2 linked regions of the Caenorhabditis elegans genome follow. The protein of the gene in region 1 purifies or fractionates together with the protein of each later gene. This does not show direct contact. Each region holds a gene or a part of one and is shown in the gene's direction. Other genes may lie near its edges.

Evidence for each region. Proteins that work in one complex are often made in the same cells at the same time.
Region 2: the proteins of haf-3 (region 1) and prdx-6 fractionate together in Caenorhabditis elegans (co-fractionation; one large-scale study listed by BioGRID). This does not show direct contact.

The regions. Positions count from the first base shown.
Region 1 is NC_003283.11:15,758,739-15,768,941, reverse strand, and holds haf-3 (ABC transmembrane type-1 domain-containing protein), read left to right. Parts: upstream 1-2,769; 5' UTR 2,770-2,777; coding exon 2,778-2,848; intron 2,849-2,897; coding exon 2,898-2,982; intron 2,983-3,026; coding exon 3,027-3,135; intron 3,136-3,187; coding exon 3,188-3,415; intron 3,416-3,475; coding exon 3,476-3,678; intron 3,679-4,395; coding exon 4,396-4,677; intron 4,678-4,725; coding exon 4,726-4,807; intron 4,808-5,093; exon of another isoform or gene 5,094-5,234; intron 5,235-5,428; coding exon 5,429-5,615; intron 5,616-5,670; coding exon 5,671-5,811; intron 5,812-6,431; coding exon 6,432-6,612; intron 6,613-7,527; coding exon 7,528-7,599; intron 7,600-7,657; coding exon 7,658-7,729; intron 7,730-7,791; coding exon 7,792-7,919; intron 7,920-8,002; exon of another isoform or gene 8,003-8,059; intron 8,060-8,126; coding exon 8,127-8,286; 3' UTR 8,287-8,487; downstream 8,488-10,203. Other genes in the region: F57A10.2 (Major sperm protein), read right to left, coding at 1,757-1,800, 1,845-2,133, 2,186-2,302, 2,350-2,367; str-9 (Seven TM Receptor), read right to left, coding at 8,525-8,637, 8,898-9,075, 9,123-9,680, 9,962-10,168.
Region 2 is NC_003282.8:214,923-222,076, forward strand, and holds prdx-6 (Thioredoxin domain-containing protein), read left to right. Parts: upstream 1-3,629; 5' UTR 3,630-3,644; coding exon 3,645-3,730; intron 3,731-4,539; coding exon 4,540-4,920; intron 4,921-5,618; coding exon 5,619-5,847; 3' UTR 5,848-5,931; downstream 5,932-7,154. Other genes in the region: Y38C1AA.1 (Phospholipid/glycerol acyltransferase domain-containing protein), read left to right, coding at 243-392, 1,949-2,080.

The DNA.
Region 1 (10,203 bases):
GACCATTAACGGGCGAACTACGGATATGAAAAGCGGGACGGACCAATTACGGGCAAACTACGGGGAATGTAAAAAATGGCCATTAAGAGGAAAAAATGGATTTTAAGAAAACGAATTTTTTAATACCTATGATACCAGTTGGCTAATTCAAGCATTTTTACGTCGTTAAATGCATTATTTAGAGCAAAAACCACATTTACCGACCGAGATGGCTCTTGAGCCGTAGTTGGGCCGTTTCCGGTCCGTAGACGGTCCGTCGCCGGCCCGTAGACGGACCGTAAATGAACCGTCCCGGGCATCAAATTTTTGTTTTTGAAAATTTCAGGTTCTAGCACGGAAAAAGTGCTCAAATTAGCCAAAGGAGAGTGTAGGCACGTCAAAAACTCCATTTTCATGAAAAAAATGTTTCGTATTATCCTCCGTTTTGGTGATCATCCGTAGTTCGGCCGTAGCCGGTCCGTAGATGGTCCGTAAATTAACCGTCCCCGTCGGCAAAACTGCACTTTTTAAAACTAAACCTTGAATCCGGCAAAAAATTAGCCAACTGGCTACAATGGACCAAATAGCATTGTGGGTACTTCAAAAACTCAATTTTCATGAAAAAAAAATTCCTCTGGGCAACCATTTTGTCTATCATCCGTCCAACTGGTCCGTACGCGGCCCGTAATCGCATGCGATCTAACTGAGGCTATTAAGCATGACATTGTGTGTAAAAGAGGTTATATTAATGTAATCCTATAAACATATCAATAAAAAAGATGAAATGCCACAATTGGGTAGATACTGTGTATACGCAACGTTCACTCTCTCTGCTGGTCTTCTTCAGCTGAGCAACAGGAGCATTTTTTGAAATATCATAAAATATTTTACTAACAATACATTCTGGAATCATATCGTTTCTGTTCCGTGTGTATTTTAAGAAATTAAGGTATCATTCAAGTAGAACGCATATACCTTATTTCCTCTATTAGTATTGCAACCCGGTCCAATCGAAAATTAATCTTGCATGCAAGACTAATGGAGGAAATATGGTAAGTACCACTTCTATATTACAAGTAGATGGAGCACGTATAGGTAGATGTTAAGAAATATGCGAAATAAGTTCTGAACTACACGAAACTGTCAATTGTTATCGTTCGCTTTCATATAAGTCCAACGGCAAGATGGAGAATCAGAAACTACTGAAAATACAATCGAAAAAGTTGGTGTAAGACGTGAAAACCAGAAGAAAATGCGCGAGCGCAAGCTGATCGCTATTTATGCGAAGTCCATTGATTTTCCTCGCGTGCGCGAACGGCCAAATGGTAAGGTGATGGGCCAGTAATCAATCGACAGGCAGAGGACAAGTTCAACACCGGCTGAGGCAGATAGAATTGCTACAACGAAGGATCACCGGAAGACGGTCTGGAGCAAGACCGGAGCTCGGTGGAGCATTGGGAAAGAAAAAGGGGGCAGCTGGAGGGTGAAAAAATTTTCCAATTTTTTAGTCTCCTTACGGTTCAATTACGGTCCGTTGACGGACCGGGAATCGAACCGTGAACCGTTCTTAAATTTGAGCCGTTCCCGGTCCATGAACGGACCGTTTTGGGCACTTTCCGCTTTGCCTGTGACTGTTTACGTGATAAAGAACGATAATTTTTCATAAATCGCTTTCGAAATCCATAAAACACAAGTGAACGTTTTATTTGGTGGCATTTACAAAAAATGAATTTTAGATCGTTAAATTCAATGTAAAAATTCTTATTAGCGTTCCTTTCTACGATGATGGAGGAAGGAAGACGACAGGGATACGACGAACTCCTGAAATTAAAGATTTTTTTCTGAAAATTCTATGCCAGCCGCACCTTCCGCGTCTTTCAGCCCATCCTTCCATAGTGGCGGAGACTGACGAGCACTCGGAGACGCATTTTTGTGGTAAAATGCGAAATAATGCTTCTTCTCCGGCTGCAGGTGGGTGTTGGCGCTCCACATCACAAGATTGACAGTTGCACCGGCATTGATGAATGCAATCGGCGGTTGAACACGGAACAGCTCCGCTGAAGTGCAACGAACTTTGAATGTGATTCTCTTGTCTGTCGGATTGTGAAGTCGGAGATTCACATAGGATGGTTCTGAAGTGGTTGGAAATACCACCTGGAATAAAGATTTTATCCAATCCATTCTCATGGGAACCTCATTTTCACACCTTTTTCACGTCGAGCCACAACTGGAAAGCGGGCTCACCGGGCTTATTGGCCATACCCGAGTCTTCGCTCGCACCTGCATCTGTGAAGGGAAGATCTGCGGTGCTTGGTGTGAAGGTCTGATGGAAATTTGGTAGATTTAAACACAAACATTGAAAAAACTCACCTTTGCTGCCAGCTTCATAATTGTTAAATAAAAGAAAAACGTTGTTTTTCTTTTATTTGTAATTGTAATTGTTGTGGTCCAATTGAAATTCACGTTTTCCATCAACTAATTCGTGAATCCCCCTCAAAAATTTCAATTTTCCAAAAACATATTTGAATTCCCTCCAATATCGAGATATGCGCCAGCAAAACTGGAAATGCGCCAGCAGCCCCTCTGGCGCATCTCTCGATTTTCTCGCATTTTTAATGAATTTTCAGAAAAATTCCACGTTTTTAATTCGTTTTTACCGGAAAATTTACCATATTTTCGATTTAATTTGTGGAAAATATAAATTTCAGATTAGTTTTTCACTAATTCAATTAAAATCTTGTAAATTTTTGTCTGTTTTGAAGATAATTGCGTCATTTTCAAGTTTTTCAGCTTTCCACATGTCACTTTTATCACATTTGAGCCGGTTATGTTGTTCGAAATGTTCTTCAATACCTTCTAGCTCAACCAGGTAATTAGTTGTGTCTTTTAAAATCTAATTTGAAGCTCTCATATTTCAGATTATTTTGTTTCGCGCCACAAGTTGGACGATCAACGGGATTTTTAAAAAGCACACTAATAAAGTCAAAACAAGCGTTTAGAAATGTAAGTTTACAAGGAATTCTATAATAAATATAAATTATTTTCAGGTCAGTGTAGTGGAAACAAAAAGGGAATCGTATAAGCTGAAAAATGCGAGTTGGAAAGATTTGAAAGCGATTTTATCACTCGCAGGTCCTTATAAATGGCGAATTATGCGTATGTTTCGAGAATTATCTGAATAAAGTCCTAAATTTATCGATTTTTTCAGTCGGAATTTCATTTCTCGGCATTAGTAGTTCGATTTTCCTCTTCACACCTCGCGTTCTCGGAAAATTAATCGACGAGTGGGACGAGACGAAGCAAGATAAAATGGATCCGAACGATAAAGCCCTACTATTGGCTCGATTTTTCAAAGAAAATCCAATTGCTCTAGCTGGAGTTTTCATGTTGGGCGCGATTGCTATTGCCGCCAGAATTTACTGCATGCACACGGCGGGTATGGCAAAACTTTTAAACTGAAATTTAATTATTTAAAATTTAATTAAAATTTTTTCAGGTCAACTTGTGATCAATGATCTTCGCAAAAGTGTGTTCAACAGTGTTCTCCGTCAAGATATGGCATTTTTCGATAAAAATAAAGTCGGAGAAATTGTTTCTCGTCTTTCTACTGATGCTCTTATCGTTGGATATTCAGTTTCGATGAATTTGAGTGATGGAGCCCGTGCATTGATCACTTGTTTCGGTTCTGGAGGTCTTATGGTGCGATTGAGCTTCACGAAATCTTTGAAATTGGAAAAATTGTCTTGAAAACCCTCCTCGTGTCGATTTACGTAGCTCGTGTACTCCTCGTGAAGAAGTTTTTTTTAGCGAAAATGCTGAATTTTTGGACTTTTTTATGTTTGAAAAAATTAAAACCTTGAATTTAAAGTTTTTTAAATATTAAATCCGATTCTAAACTCTAATTTTCAGATAACTTTTTCAGAAAAAAAAATAATTAAAAATTGAAAAATACCGGAATTTTCAATATTTTTTTGCAAATTGAAAAAAAAAAAATCTAAAACCTGTTTAGATTTATCAACAAAAAAACAGTATTATTAACAAAAATTAAGAAAATTTCTTCAAAAATACACAAAAATGAGATAAAATTGAAATTTTGAAACTTGTTTTCCAAATTTTTCTGATTTTCTGCAGTTTCAAAAAAAAAAAATCAGAAAGCACAAATTATTCGATTTTTTCAATGGAAAACTTGAAATTTTCAAAAAAAATCTCCTGAAGAATTGAAAAGAACCCTGAAATTATTGAAATTAAAAAAACCCTTAACAATCTAAATTTTAAATAAGTTTTAAGTAGAAAATTTTGCAAAAAAAACTTCTCCTCGTGGAGTACACGAGCTGCGTAAATCGACACTTCGAATATAAAAATGATTTTTTATTCGTTTTTCCCTGAATTCTCCAATAAAATTGAATTTTCTTCCAGGTCTACACCTCCCTGGCAATGTGCAAAGTGATTTTTGTCGTCGTACCGGTCATCGTTGGAACTTTTGCAGTTTTCGGAAAGCTTCAGAGAAAATACACGTTAATGATGCAAGAAGCTGTCGCCGGAGCGAATCAGGTCGCCACTGAACGTCTTTCTTCCGTTCGAACCGTCCGAATGTTGGTCGCCGAGAGGAAGGAACTCGCCGCGTATTCTGACAAAATTAATGAAATTTGGCAGATTTCGAAGAAGGAAGGACTCGCCAAGGGATTCATGTTTGGATCGGTTTGAAAATTGGAAAAATATTGAAAAAAAAATGGTGGAAATTTTCAGTTCCAATTCACTGGATATCTTGCGCTCTCATCAATTCTATTCTACGGAAGCAATCTGATTAGTCAGGGACTTTTGACATATGGTAAAGATTTATTCGTGTGTCGATTTACGCAGCTCGTGTACTCCTCGAGGAAAAATTTTATGCAAAAATGCTCAATTTTTGAACATTTTTTCTGATTTTTTAAAAGGAATTTGCTGTTAAAATCGCTGAATTTATGATCGAAGATGTCGGAAAATTTCCGTTTTTCTATTTTTTTCAGAAAAAAAATACCGAAGAAAACCATGGATTTATCCATAAAAGTCTTTTTAAAAAAAAAGAGAAATTACCAAAAAATTTGTGTGAAATTGCAAATTTTTTTGAAAAAATGCAAATTGTTTAGAAATTTTTTTTTTGAAAAAATATAAAATTTTGAAAAAAAAAACTGAAAATCCAGGATCCCACAAAATTTAAATTTCTCTGGTTTCCTGTATAAATTTTGTAGATTTTTTTCCCTGAAACACTAGGAAAAAATACAAAAATTATGTATGTCAAAAATGGTTGAAAATTCATGAATTTCCGCCGAAAATCTGTGAAATCCTCTTCTCCACGAGGAGTACACACGCTGCGTAAATGGACACATTGTCACAAAAAGTTTTATCCAAAAAAATCACCAAAAAACTAAAAAAAATTTTAAAAATTTTGCAATTTAATTTATTTTTTCAGGAGAACTTTCCTCATTCTGTCTCTACGCAGTTCTCAGCGCTGGTAGCCTGTCAGCAATGTCTGGATTCTATCTCGAATTGATGAAGGGTCTCGGAGCCAGCTCCCGGCTCTTTGAGCTCAAAAATCGGGAGCCAAGAATTCCGTTGGAAGGAGGTGTTCAAATTGGAAATGTCAAGGATACTATTAGGTATCGCAATACTGAAATAACTTTTGAAATAAAAAATGTAATTTTTTTTTCTCAGATTTGAGCACGTTGCATTCGGATATGCTGACCGGGACCCATTATTCCATAATATTTCATTTGATGTGCCAGCTGGAAAAATCACGGCAGTCGTGGGATCATCTGGATCAGGAAAATCGACAATCGCCTCGCTTTTGCTTAGGTAGAACCATATTTAAGAGGAAAAATACTTAAAATGACCCGAAATTAGCGATAAAATATTATAAAATTTAGAAAAAAGCTGAAAAATTTTTGTTTCAACTTTCGGCACTCTTTTTTGAATTTTTTGCAAAATTTACCCTTACATTATAAAAAAGGGCAAAATTTACGAAAAAAAATTTTTTTCGTAACAAAAAATCCAAATTAAAAATTAAATTTCTTGAAAACCGACGGAATTGCACAAAAAACTTAAAAATATAACAAAAAAAATTTCCGGCCATTTTAAGACAAAATAAGTGGCAAAAATCCATTTTTGGTAGTTTTTGAAGCAAAAAAAAAAAACAAATTTCGTTTTTTTTTTGTTCTTCAAAAATTCAATTAGATTTCCGAAAAATGTGATTAAACTTATTAAAAAAAGCTTTAATTTACGAAAAAAAAACAACCAAAAATTAACGAAAGCCGTTCTTTTCGACGGGAATGAGCAAAAAAAAATTTTCCGATTTGTTTGAGACGTTGCAAGCTTTTTTATTTCAGCAAAATTTTGTTAATTTCCAAAAGTTTTTACGTAAAAACCCAAAATGTAATTTTTTTTTTGAAAAATGTATTATTTCTTTCAAATTCCAGACTCTACGATCCAACGAGCGGTCGAATTTTGGTCGACGGAACCGATTTGAAGGACATTGATCCATCATATTGGCGTCGTCATATTGGAACAGTTGGACAAGAACCGGTTTTATTCTCGACAACTATCAAAGAGAATATTATTTATGGAAGTCTTGAACCTGAAAACGTTACCGACGCTGAAGTGAGTACGAAAAAAACCGGGGATTTGGAAGGAATGCAAAAAATCGAGAAATATCACTAGTTTTCCAACTGAATTTTCATCAGTAAAAAATGTGGTCGATTTTTTTAAACGAATTTTTATCTGAAAAAAAAATCCAAAAAAAATCAATAAACGAAATAATTCTAAAATTTTTTAGTTTTTTCTGGAGATATTTGTTAATTTTGGAGAATAAATTTCGACAAAAAAACCGGAAAACCACCAACAAAAAAAAAAGAATTATTTCCTCCAATAAACTTTTTCGAAAAGCAGTTTTTGGTCCAAAAAAGACCGAAAAATCCATTGTTTAATTTTTCAGTATTTGAAGAAATTCTATTTTTTGGAATAAAAATATTTTTTCCCGCAATAAAATTTCCGAAAAACATTTTTTTCGCATTTTTCAGACAAAAAACAACTATTCTTCAATTCAAAATGTTTTTTTTTCGGAGATTTTTTTTTCTGAATTTTATTTTTACCAACAATACAAAAAATCGTATTATTTCCTCCATTGAAAGTTTTTGAAAAACAGTTTTGGTCCAAAAAATAATTTTTAAAAACCCGTTTTTAAAAACATTTTTTTAATTCCATTTTTAGAAAAAAACCTTATTTTTGAAACATATTGAAAAAATGTTGAAAACCGGTTCGAAAAAAAAACCTCAAACGTTTAATTGTCAAATTACTTGAATTTTTCGAAATTTTCATATTATTGAAATTTCTAGAATTGTCAAAACAAATTAAATTGTTATAATTTTTTGAAAATTTACTTTCTAAAAAATTAATTTTTTAAAAATAATAAAATAAAGAATACAATACAATTCCAACCTGAAATCCGCTATTGAATACTCAAAAATATCCCAAAAACTCCAGAATTTGCAATTTTAATTAGATTTCTATTTTTAGATCGTCTCAGCAGCCGATCAATCCAACGCCGATGAGTTTATCAGCCGATTCCCAATTAAATATGACACAAAGGTGTGTATTCATTTTTCACAAATATTTCAATTTTCAATCTAAAAACCTCGATTTCCAGGTCGGTGAGCACGGATCAACACTAAGTGGAGGACAAAAGCAGAGAATTGCCATCGCCCGTGCTCTTGTCAATGTGAGAAAAATATTTTAGAAAAAGTTTTCCCAGAGCTCTACTAAATCTGAAAATAATTTCAGAAGCCGAATATTCTAATTATGGATGAAGCCACATCGGCACTCGACGCCTCGTCAGAATATCTCGTTCGAATTGCTCTCAACAAATTGCTCGCGAATAGTAAACAGACTGTTATGATTATTGCTCACAGGTAAAGTTTTTAGAGCAAAAAATTCAAAAAAAAATCTAAATTTTTCGATTTTTGGCATTTTAAAAATTACTTTTTTGAAACATTTTGGAGTATACAAGATGCGTCGTAAATCGACATCTTGTCGATTTACGCACATCGTGTGTACTCCTCGAGGAAAACAAGAAACATCGGAAAAATGTCGATTTTTAACAATTTCCGAAATTCCAGACTGTCCACAATCAAGCATGCCGATCAAATCGTTGTAGTCGATAGAGGAAGTGTTGCAGAATCTGGAAGCTATGACGAGCTTATCGCTATCCCCGACGGAATTTTCAGAAAGCTGGTGGAAAAGCAGACATTTGGATTCAAAAATCCCGAATCTTATTAAATCGTTGTTTTTTTTTGTTTTACGAATAGTCGATTTGTTTTCCCCCTAATTTTTATTTCATATCACTTTTTTTTGGTTAGCTTAAAATTTCAGATTTTGTTCTTCTAGGTCATTTTTCTTCCCACTTTTGTGCCTTCCTCTCCCCTGCTACTTTTGTGATGAATTATGTAGAAGAGCTAGTTTAAATTAATAATAATTCCTCCTTTTTTATTATTTGGAAGAAAATATAGAAAAATCATCAAAGTTTAGTAGTAATCGCCTTGCTCCCAGTCTTGACCGTCTCTTTACTTTCGTCCGCCGCCGGCCCCGGAGACCTTACTGTGTACTTTTGCCGAGTGTTCCAGATTAGCTCTGGAAAAAAAATTATTGCATTTATTTGGGGATTACTGTGCTACCAGAAGCAGAGGCGGAACTTCGCTTTGCAATACTGCAGCGCGGTTTTTCAGAATTATTTATTTTACCGTTTTTTGAAAGGTTATTTCGGGTTACTTTTTTATTTTGTGAAAAAATTTACAGAATTCAACTAACGGATTCGTCGCCTACTCCTGAATTCACCACTGACGCATTTTTTCTCCGAAGTTTCCCAGTTACGAGATCCCCGATAGACTCACTTTTCAACGCTCTACCATACTCAGAAACACAGCTCATCATGATAATTGAATCGAGAGCTGGGTATACTGTGAAGCCGCTCTGAATTATACAAGACGGGAAGCTCATTTCCAAGTCTGCAAATGGAGCATAGATCATGAAGAAGACTGGACAGAACAGTATGATTGTGGGCGCAGTGATCTGTAAACCGCGACTTCTGATTATGTGAAAGAACACATGAAACTAACCTGTATCACGAGGGCTCTGAAGAATTGCTTATGAAGGCGACGGTTTTGGGCGGATAGGACGGAGAGTTTGGCGCGCATTCCATGATACATTTGATGCCCACAAATCAATATAACCGAGTATTGAATTGTGGAGATCAATGTCATTAGAGAGAGCCCATAGACATTCCTCCAGCGGATGCTATTACCTTCATAGGCAATCAGGCCAAGCACAGGGATATCTGTGATGTTCCTCTCGTAACGAAGAAGTATCTCCCCACCAAGGTATTCTCTTCCGAAGTCATCCATCGCAAAGAAATGCCCAACTGCAAATGCCCATAGGACTCCGAAGAATGAGTAATAGGACACCCAAATCAAGTAGTACCATCCATGGAAATATTTGATCTTCGGAGTATCAAAAAGTGCCCAGTACCGATAAATGAATTGAATTGCCAGCTGACAGATTGTTGCAGAGTACAGTCCTGTGTAGATTCCCATCATCCATTCCATTGAGAAGTTTGATAGTCCCAATGGGCGGGAAAGACTAAAGTAGATCAAGCTGGCGTTGTAGGTGTGCAGGAACTGGAAATGAAGTAGGTTAGGGATGAACTATCTACAGTACCACTACAGTAACTTATGTAACAGTAGACTATCCGGTGCACGGTTACGGTGCATTTTCTATACATTTGAAATTTATACTGAATTTTCCGAAATCTGATGAAAATGAAGCGCAGAAAAAAAATTGGGCGTTATGTTTGTCAGCTCTACTCTAGATATTATATCAATATATCCACAGATAGCTTTCGTAGTATCTAGACTGGAATTTACTCCACTAGTTATAAGAGGGGAAACATCTTCCTTACCGTGTGAAACAAGAACTCAAACGATGCGAAGATGAAGCCCAATAATTGAAAGTTGACGAGCAAGTACTTGTAGGATCCGAACTGCCGTTTGATGTAGAACAACGTTAAGTACACCAGAATGAAGCCAAAGAAGGCGTTGGAAAAGAACCCCAAATCCCCCATGAAAATGCAGAATTTGATGTAAGGGAGGTAGACGGTGCCGAACATGATTCACCAAGGCTGAAGAATTTCTACAAGAACTG
Region 2 (7,154 bases), on another chromosome or scaffold:
TTGACAAATGTTCCCTAGAAATAAGTTGTAATTTTTAAATCTGTGTTTTTGATTTTAACCAAATATAAATTATAAATAGACACATTTTCCTATAAGAAACTTTAAAAAATTGATTTTTTTTTCCGAAAAACATTTTTTTTTTTTAAATTTCCTGGTTTTTTTTTTTCAAAACTTAACAGTATAAAACTCAAAAATATTTACGATAAATTCTTAAAATTTGAATTTCAAAAAATATTTTACAGGTTCGAAAAACGGTAAAACGTGAGATTCGAATGATGATTAAAGAACATCAACGACTTCCGGGTAGTGTTTGGAGAGGAATAGCCCAGCGATGGTCATCCACGTCATCAAAAAAGAAGAATTCTGATGAACCGGAGCAGGCAGTGAGTATTGTCAGTTTTCTATGGAAATGATTTTGAGCTTACTTCGGAGCTCGCTTTTTGTGATTTCTTTATATTTAACCAACTGCTTCAAGTTGGTAAATGATTCTAATTCTGAAAATGTAAAAAAAAATTTGCGAAATTTAAATTTTTAGTCTATTTTTTTCTTCTTCTACACCTTCAAATGCGTGCGTATTTTCTCGAAATGGTATCGCCACGCGCCACCCATTGTTTTTCAAATCTTTTTTTCAAAATCAATGGGTGGCGCGTGGAGAGATCATTTCGCGAAAATACGCGCACCTTTGAAGTCGTAAAGGAAGGAAAAATATACTGTATAGTTTTTCAACACTGACATATGTTGAACCTCACCCAAAACTCCCGAGCCTCACTTAAACTCTCAGCCTCACCCAAAATCTTTAGCCTCAACCAAAAATCCTCAGCCTCAATCAAAAATTCTCAGCCTCAACCAAAAATTCTCAGCCTCAACCTAAAATTCTCAGCCTCAACCAAAAATTCTGAGCCTCAACCAAAAATTCTCAGCCTCAATCAAAAATTCTCAGCCTCAACCAAAAATTCTCAGCCTCAACCAAAAATTCTCAGCCTCAACCTAAAATTCTCAGCCTCAACCAAAAATCCTCAGCCTCAATCAAAAATCCTCAGCCTCAACCAAAAATTCTCAGCCTCAATCAAAAATTCTCAGCCTCAACCAAAAATTCTCAGCCTCAACCAAAAATTCTCAGCCTCAACCTAAAAATTCTCAGCCTCAACCTAAAATTCTCAGCCTCAACCAAAAATTCTGAGCCTCAACCAAAAATTCTCAGCCTCAACCAAAAATTCTCAGCCTCAACCAAAAATTCTCAGCTTCAACCAAAAATCCTCAGCCTCAACCAAAAATTCTCAGCCTCAACCAAAAATTCTCAGCCTCAACCAAAAATTCTCAGCCTCAACCAAAAATTCTCAGCCTCAACCAAAAATTCTCAGCCTCAACCAAAAATTCTCAGCCTCAACCAAAAATTCTGAGCCTCAACCAAAAATTCTCAGCTTCAACCAAAAATCCTCAGCCTCAACCAAAAATTCTTCGGAGCCGTTTTTTTTTCTATTTTTAACAGAAATTTGGAACCGCAAACAGACAAAATTCGGCCATCAGTTTTTCCACGGCCACGTAGCACTGTCAGCTCACTGGAGAAGCTCAACTATTTTTCTTTTATTAAGGAAACATTACAAAAATTTGAGAAAAAATCAAAAAATTGATAAGAAATTCAATTTTATTTGTTTCCTCAAAAGTTTTTTTTCCAAATTCTTATTCTTAGTCTTTTTGGGAACTCTTTTCCTGAAAAAATCTAATGATTCTCATTACCATAATACTTTTTTGGTGCGGCTGAAAATTATGAATTGTTATGTTTTATTTATTATTTTGACGAATTTTTGTTAAAAATTAAAATCATAAAAAAGAAACGGTTCAGTAACTATGACATTTTCCAAAAATTCCTGCAAATTTTCTTGAATATATGGAAATTAAAGAAAATTTTCCATTCTCCAAAACAATTTTTAATTCTTAATCTTTTCAGGAACTCCTACAACGAAACGGAGCAGGAACGACGAGTCCAACGTCAGACTCAGAAGATATCGTGGTGCTCCGACGGGATCGATCCGGAGTTGAAGATGATGATGATGAAGTTGATGAGCTCGGTGGAATCTAAATTTTTTTTAAATCTGAATACTGTATTTTTGTGTTCTTTTTGGATCTCTCTGTGCATCTAAATTTCTGTGTAATTTTCAATTTTGCAGCTTTTAATCTCTTTTTTTGGGAGGTTCTCATTGAAAATATCCAGCGGAAATTGCTACAATATTCAAAAAAAAAAATTCTCGAGAAATCGAAATTTCTAGTAGTTTTTGAGCATTTTCTGTGGGATTTTTCAGTAATTTTTAATGATTTTTTTTTCAAAATTTGCATCCCTGTCCTTGATCTAATCAATAATTTACAAATTATACCCCTTTTTTTCGTAGAAATTACTTTATTTTACAAAAAACCCGTCTTAACTGTGATAAATGTGTACTTTTCCCCCCGTCATAATAATAAATCAAATTTCTATTATTTTTAACGTTTTTTTTTTGCTTTTTTTCCTTTGTTTACTCTACCAATGATTTTATATTTTGATTTTTTTCCTTTTTTCAAATAATTTGCTAGTTTTATCTAAGCTTAGAACCTTTTCAGTTTTTTAAAAAAAGTTTTTTTGTAATTACTTTTTAAAGCGAAAAATCAAAAATTAAAAAAAAAAATCAAATTCCTAAAAAAAACGTTGGAAAAACTTTTTTCTGGAAATTTTTTTTTTAATTGTTTAAAAACAACGAAAAAAAATTAGCTATCTAAATTTTTCTTAACTTTTTTCTGGAAATTATTTGTTTTTGTTTTTAATTTTTGCTGGGATCTATTGAATGGAATTTTTGAAAGAACCAAGAAATGGGCGGAGCCTATTCCAAATAATTTGAGGCTGAAAAAAGTGAAATAAAATTGTTTTATTTACTTTGTGTTCGGGTTCTCAAGTTTCCTTCAACAAACTTTTTGGTCTAAAGCTCTTTAGATTTTCAAAACAAAAAACCAATTAAATTTTCTTGTTTTAGAACAATTTTAATGCTGAAATCTAAGAAATTGAATTTTAAAAAACCAAGAAATGGGTGGAGCTTATTACAAATAATTTCATTGTCCGACACCACTCCAAATATCCGATTGGAAAGTGAAGTCTAACACATAAAACAGATGACATTCGCCGGGAACAAAAACCACAAAATAAGCTCCGCCCATCTCATGGCTTTTATGTATAAATGATTTAATACGCACGTTTCAATTAAGTTTTACTGAATTAATAAAAAAATTCTTTTAAAAAAATTCTGAAATTTTGAAAGCTTTTGATATTTATAAAAGCTTAAAGCCAATATATGGGCGGAGCCTATTAGCGATTTTAATTTGGATTACGCTCCGCCCTTTTCTTGGCTATTTTTGAGTTGTTTTCTCGAATTTTCACATTTTTTCGAGCAACACGAAGGTGTCTACTGGTACGGTAGATCACGATCACCTACACAATCATGTCAACATTTCCCTGAAATAACGAAATAAATTGAATTTTGTTGTGATTGGAAATTTTTTTTTGTTTTTTCTTTGCTGAGCCAAATCATATTATCTTCTTAAGAAACTATTTTTTACTTTTTTATTGAAACATTCAAAAAACTGAAAATTATAATAAATTTCAGATTAAAACTCAAGAGATGAAGCTCGGAGACACCGTTCCAAATTTTACATTCGAAACGGATCTTCGCAAAAATCAAACTTTGCACAACTACATTGGAGAACAGTGAGTTTGGAGAAAAAATTGTTAATTTGGTTGTACTTTATTGGATAGTTTGAGTTAATTTGAAAGGATTTTGAAAAAACAAATTTTTTTGGAAATTTTGAAAAAAAATGAAAAATTGAGTTAAAGGTGGTGTAGCCGGATTTTTTTAAATTGCTTTATTAGACTCAAAATTGTCTGAAAACAAGGAATTTCGTTATGAAATTTCATGAAAATTTCTCAAAAAAAAAATTAAGACGGCTCAAAAATGGCCTAAAATTAGTTAAAATTAGAAATTTGACCTACTTTTCAATGTCGCCTTTACTCAAAATTTGACGATGATTTCAAAAAAAATTGGTTCCAGCCGCTTCGACATTGACAAGTCGGTCAAATTTTCGATTTTAACTAATTTTAGGCTAGTTTTTAAGCCGTCATAACTTTTTTTTGAGAAGTTTTCAAGAAGTTTCATGTTGAAATTTGGCGTTTTCAGACAATTTTGAGTCTAGTAAAGAAATAAATAAAAATTCGACTACTCCACCTTTAATAACATCTATTTTCCAAAAAAATATGGATTTTTTTTTTCTAAAAAATTAACGATTTACTATATAAAAAATGTTAAAAACATTTCGAAATTTTTTTTTTCAAAAGTTACATTTTCAGGTGAATTTAAATATTTTAAAAAAGTCCTGAATAATTTTCGCAAAAAGTTGAAAAAACACATTTAAAAAGTATTTCAGAATTTTTATAATTTTTTTTTGCAAAAATCTACTTTTTCACTTTAAAATTCTTTTATTAAAAAAATAAATTCCAATCCAAAACGATCCAATTTTCAGATGGCTGATGCTGTTCAGTCACCCGGCCGACTTTACGCCCGTCTGCACTACAGAACTCGCCGAGCTCGTCAAATTGGCTCCCGAATTCCGCAAACGCCATGTTCAGATCCTTGCGATCAGTATCGATTCATCAGAAACTCATCGTGATTGGGCAAAAGACATTAATTCGGTGGCACAATTGAGCAATTGCGGAAGCCATTTGCCATTTGAAATCATCGCCGACACGGATCGATCGATTTGTACAGAACTCGGAATGATTGATCCGGATGAGATGAATTCGGAGGGAATCTGTCTTTCGGCTCGTGCTGTGATGCTTTTTGGACCTGATAAGAAGCTCAAATCGAAGATTCTCTATCCGGCTACGTTCGGCAGAAATTTTGTGTGAGTGAGAAGATTTCGAGGGGAGAGAATTCAAGTTTTCAGACATTTCTGGATCTCAAAAATTCACAGAATTCGAATAATCAATAGATTTTTGTTGAAATTTGAATTCTAAAAAAAACTATTTTTGCTTTTTTTGCAAGTAGATTTTTGCAAGCCTCCTGAAACAAAAAAATTGAAAAAGCTAAATTTTCCACAATTTTCGAATGACTCCGTTTTTTTTAAAACTGTTTGCCAAACTACACGTGGTGTCAGAGTATCTCATTTTGGATTGATCTACGTTGATCTACAAAAAATGCGGGAGAAGAGACGCAGAGTTTTTAACTGATTTCGTATGATTAAGAACGTGCTGACGTCACTTTTTTTTGGGCAAAAAATTCCGGCATTTTTTGTAGATCAAACCGTGATGCACGGATTTCTGGCTTCCCTTATAAATCGAAATGGCAGAGTTGGCCGAACTAGGCCATTTTGGGTCGGAGAGATTTTGTGTAGATTTACGGAGCGCGAAAATTCAATGAGAAAGGCCAGAACCCAGTGGTAATGGGACAGCCTGACACCACGTGAAACTAGAAAATTCAATAAATGAATTCACGAACAAAGTCGAATTACATATTTTTAGACTGAAAAACTAGAAAAAATATTTAGAATTATCAATTTTCCAGTCATTAGCCTTGGCGCCTAAAATTCCCCATAATTTCCAGCGAAATTCTCCGCATGGTCGACGGTGTTCAACTCGGCACAAAGGCTCCAGTGGCAACTCCGGCTAACTGGATTGCCGGTGACAATGTCATCGCTCAACCATCTCTGAGTCAAGAGAGAGTTATTCAGGAGCTTTGTGGTGGAGATCCAGACAAATGCAAGACGGTTCCGTTGCCGAGTGGAAAGAGTTATCTACGTGTCATCGAGGGAGACGCTTACTTGCAGAATTGATATTTTATTTAAATATGTGTTACTTTTTGTTGGTTGCCTGGTTTTAATGTTGAATTTTTCCAATTTTATAAATCAATTATGTTGTTTTATTTCTGAAAAAGCAACTCGATTTTGAGTGAGGCTCTGGAATTTCGGGAATTTTATAGTTAACAGTTTTACAAAAATGCAAAAATGGTTTTTCACAATTTAATCCGAACTGTAATTTTCAAACTCCAGCTGTTTCCATTTTGTGTTTCTTCCTTCTCGTCGAAGATGTGAATTTCAGAAAATGTGTTGATATGGATGAGAACATTACGTCCGAGTTGAGATCTTCTGGAACAAAATCATTTTTTGACGTAAATTCCTTAACAGTAAAAGTACAACAATCCTCTGTCTGTACATAGAAGTACAGTACCCTTCTACAGTAACCATACTTTCTCTTTTTCCAATTTCCCGTAGTTTCGAACGTTTTCAGAAAAATTATTTTTTTTGCCCAAAAAAAAAGTACAGTCATTAGATGGCTGAAAAAAATTTGGGCAAAAATAAAAAGTGGTCTAATTTTGTTGAAGACGGGTAATTCATATATGGAGAATTCAGAAAATCTAGGTTTAACCCATCAAAAACTATTAAAAAGTGGCAAAAATGACAATTTATGACAAAAAAGCACAATTTTGAAACTCCTCTAAAATAGGCAATTTTGTAGTTAGAGGGCTCAAAATTGATCTGAGAACACTAAAAAACTGCCCTTTTCCAATTTCCCGTAGTTTCGAACGTTTTCAGAAAAATTATTTTTTTTGCCCAAAAAAAAAAGTACAGTCTGATGGCTGAAAAAAATTTGGGCAAAAATAAAAAGTGGTCTAATTTTGTTGAAGACGGGTAATTCATATATGGAGAATTCAGAAAATCTAGGTTTAACCCATCAAAAACTATTAAAAAGTGGCAAAAATGACAATTTATGACAAAAAAGCACAATTTTGAAACTCCTCTAAAATAGGCAATTTTGTAGTTAGAGGGCTCAAAATTGATCTGAGAACACTAAAAAACTGCCCTTTTCCAATTTCCCGTAGTTTCGAACGTTTTCAGAAAAATTATTTTTTTTGCCCAAAAAAAAAAAGTACAGTCATTAGATGGCTGAAAAAAATTTGGGCAAAAATAAAAAGTGGTCTAATTTTGTTGAAGACGGGTAATTCATATATGGAGAATTCAGAAAATCTAGGTTTAACCCATCAAAAACTATTAAAAAGTGGCAAAAATGACAATTTATGACAAAAAAGCACAATTTTGAAACTTCTCTAAAATAGGCAATTTTGTAGTTAGAGGGCTCAAAA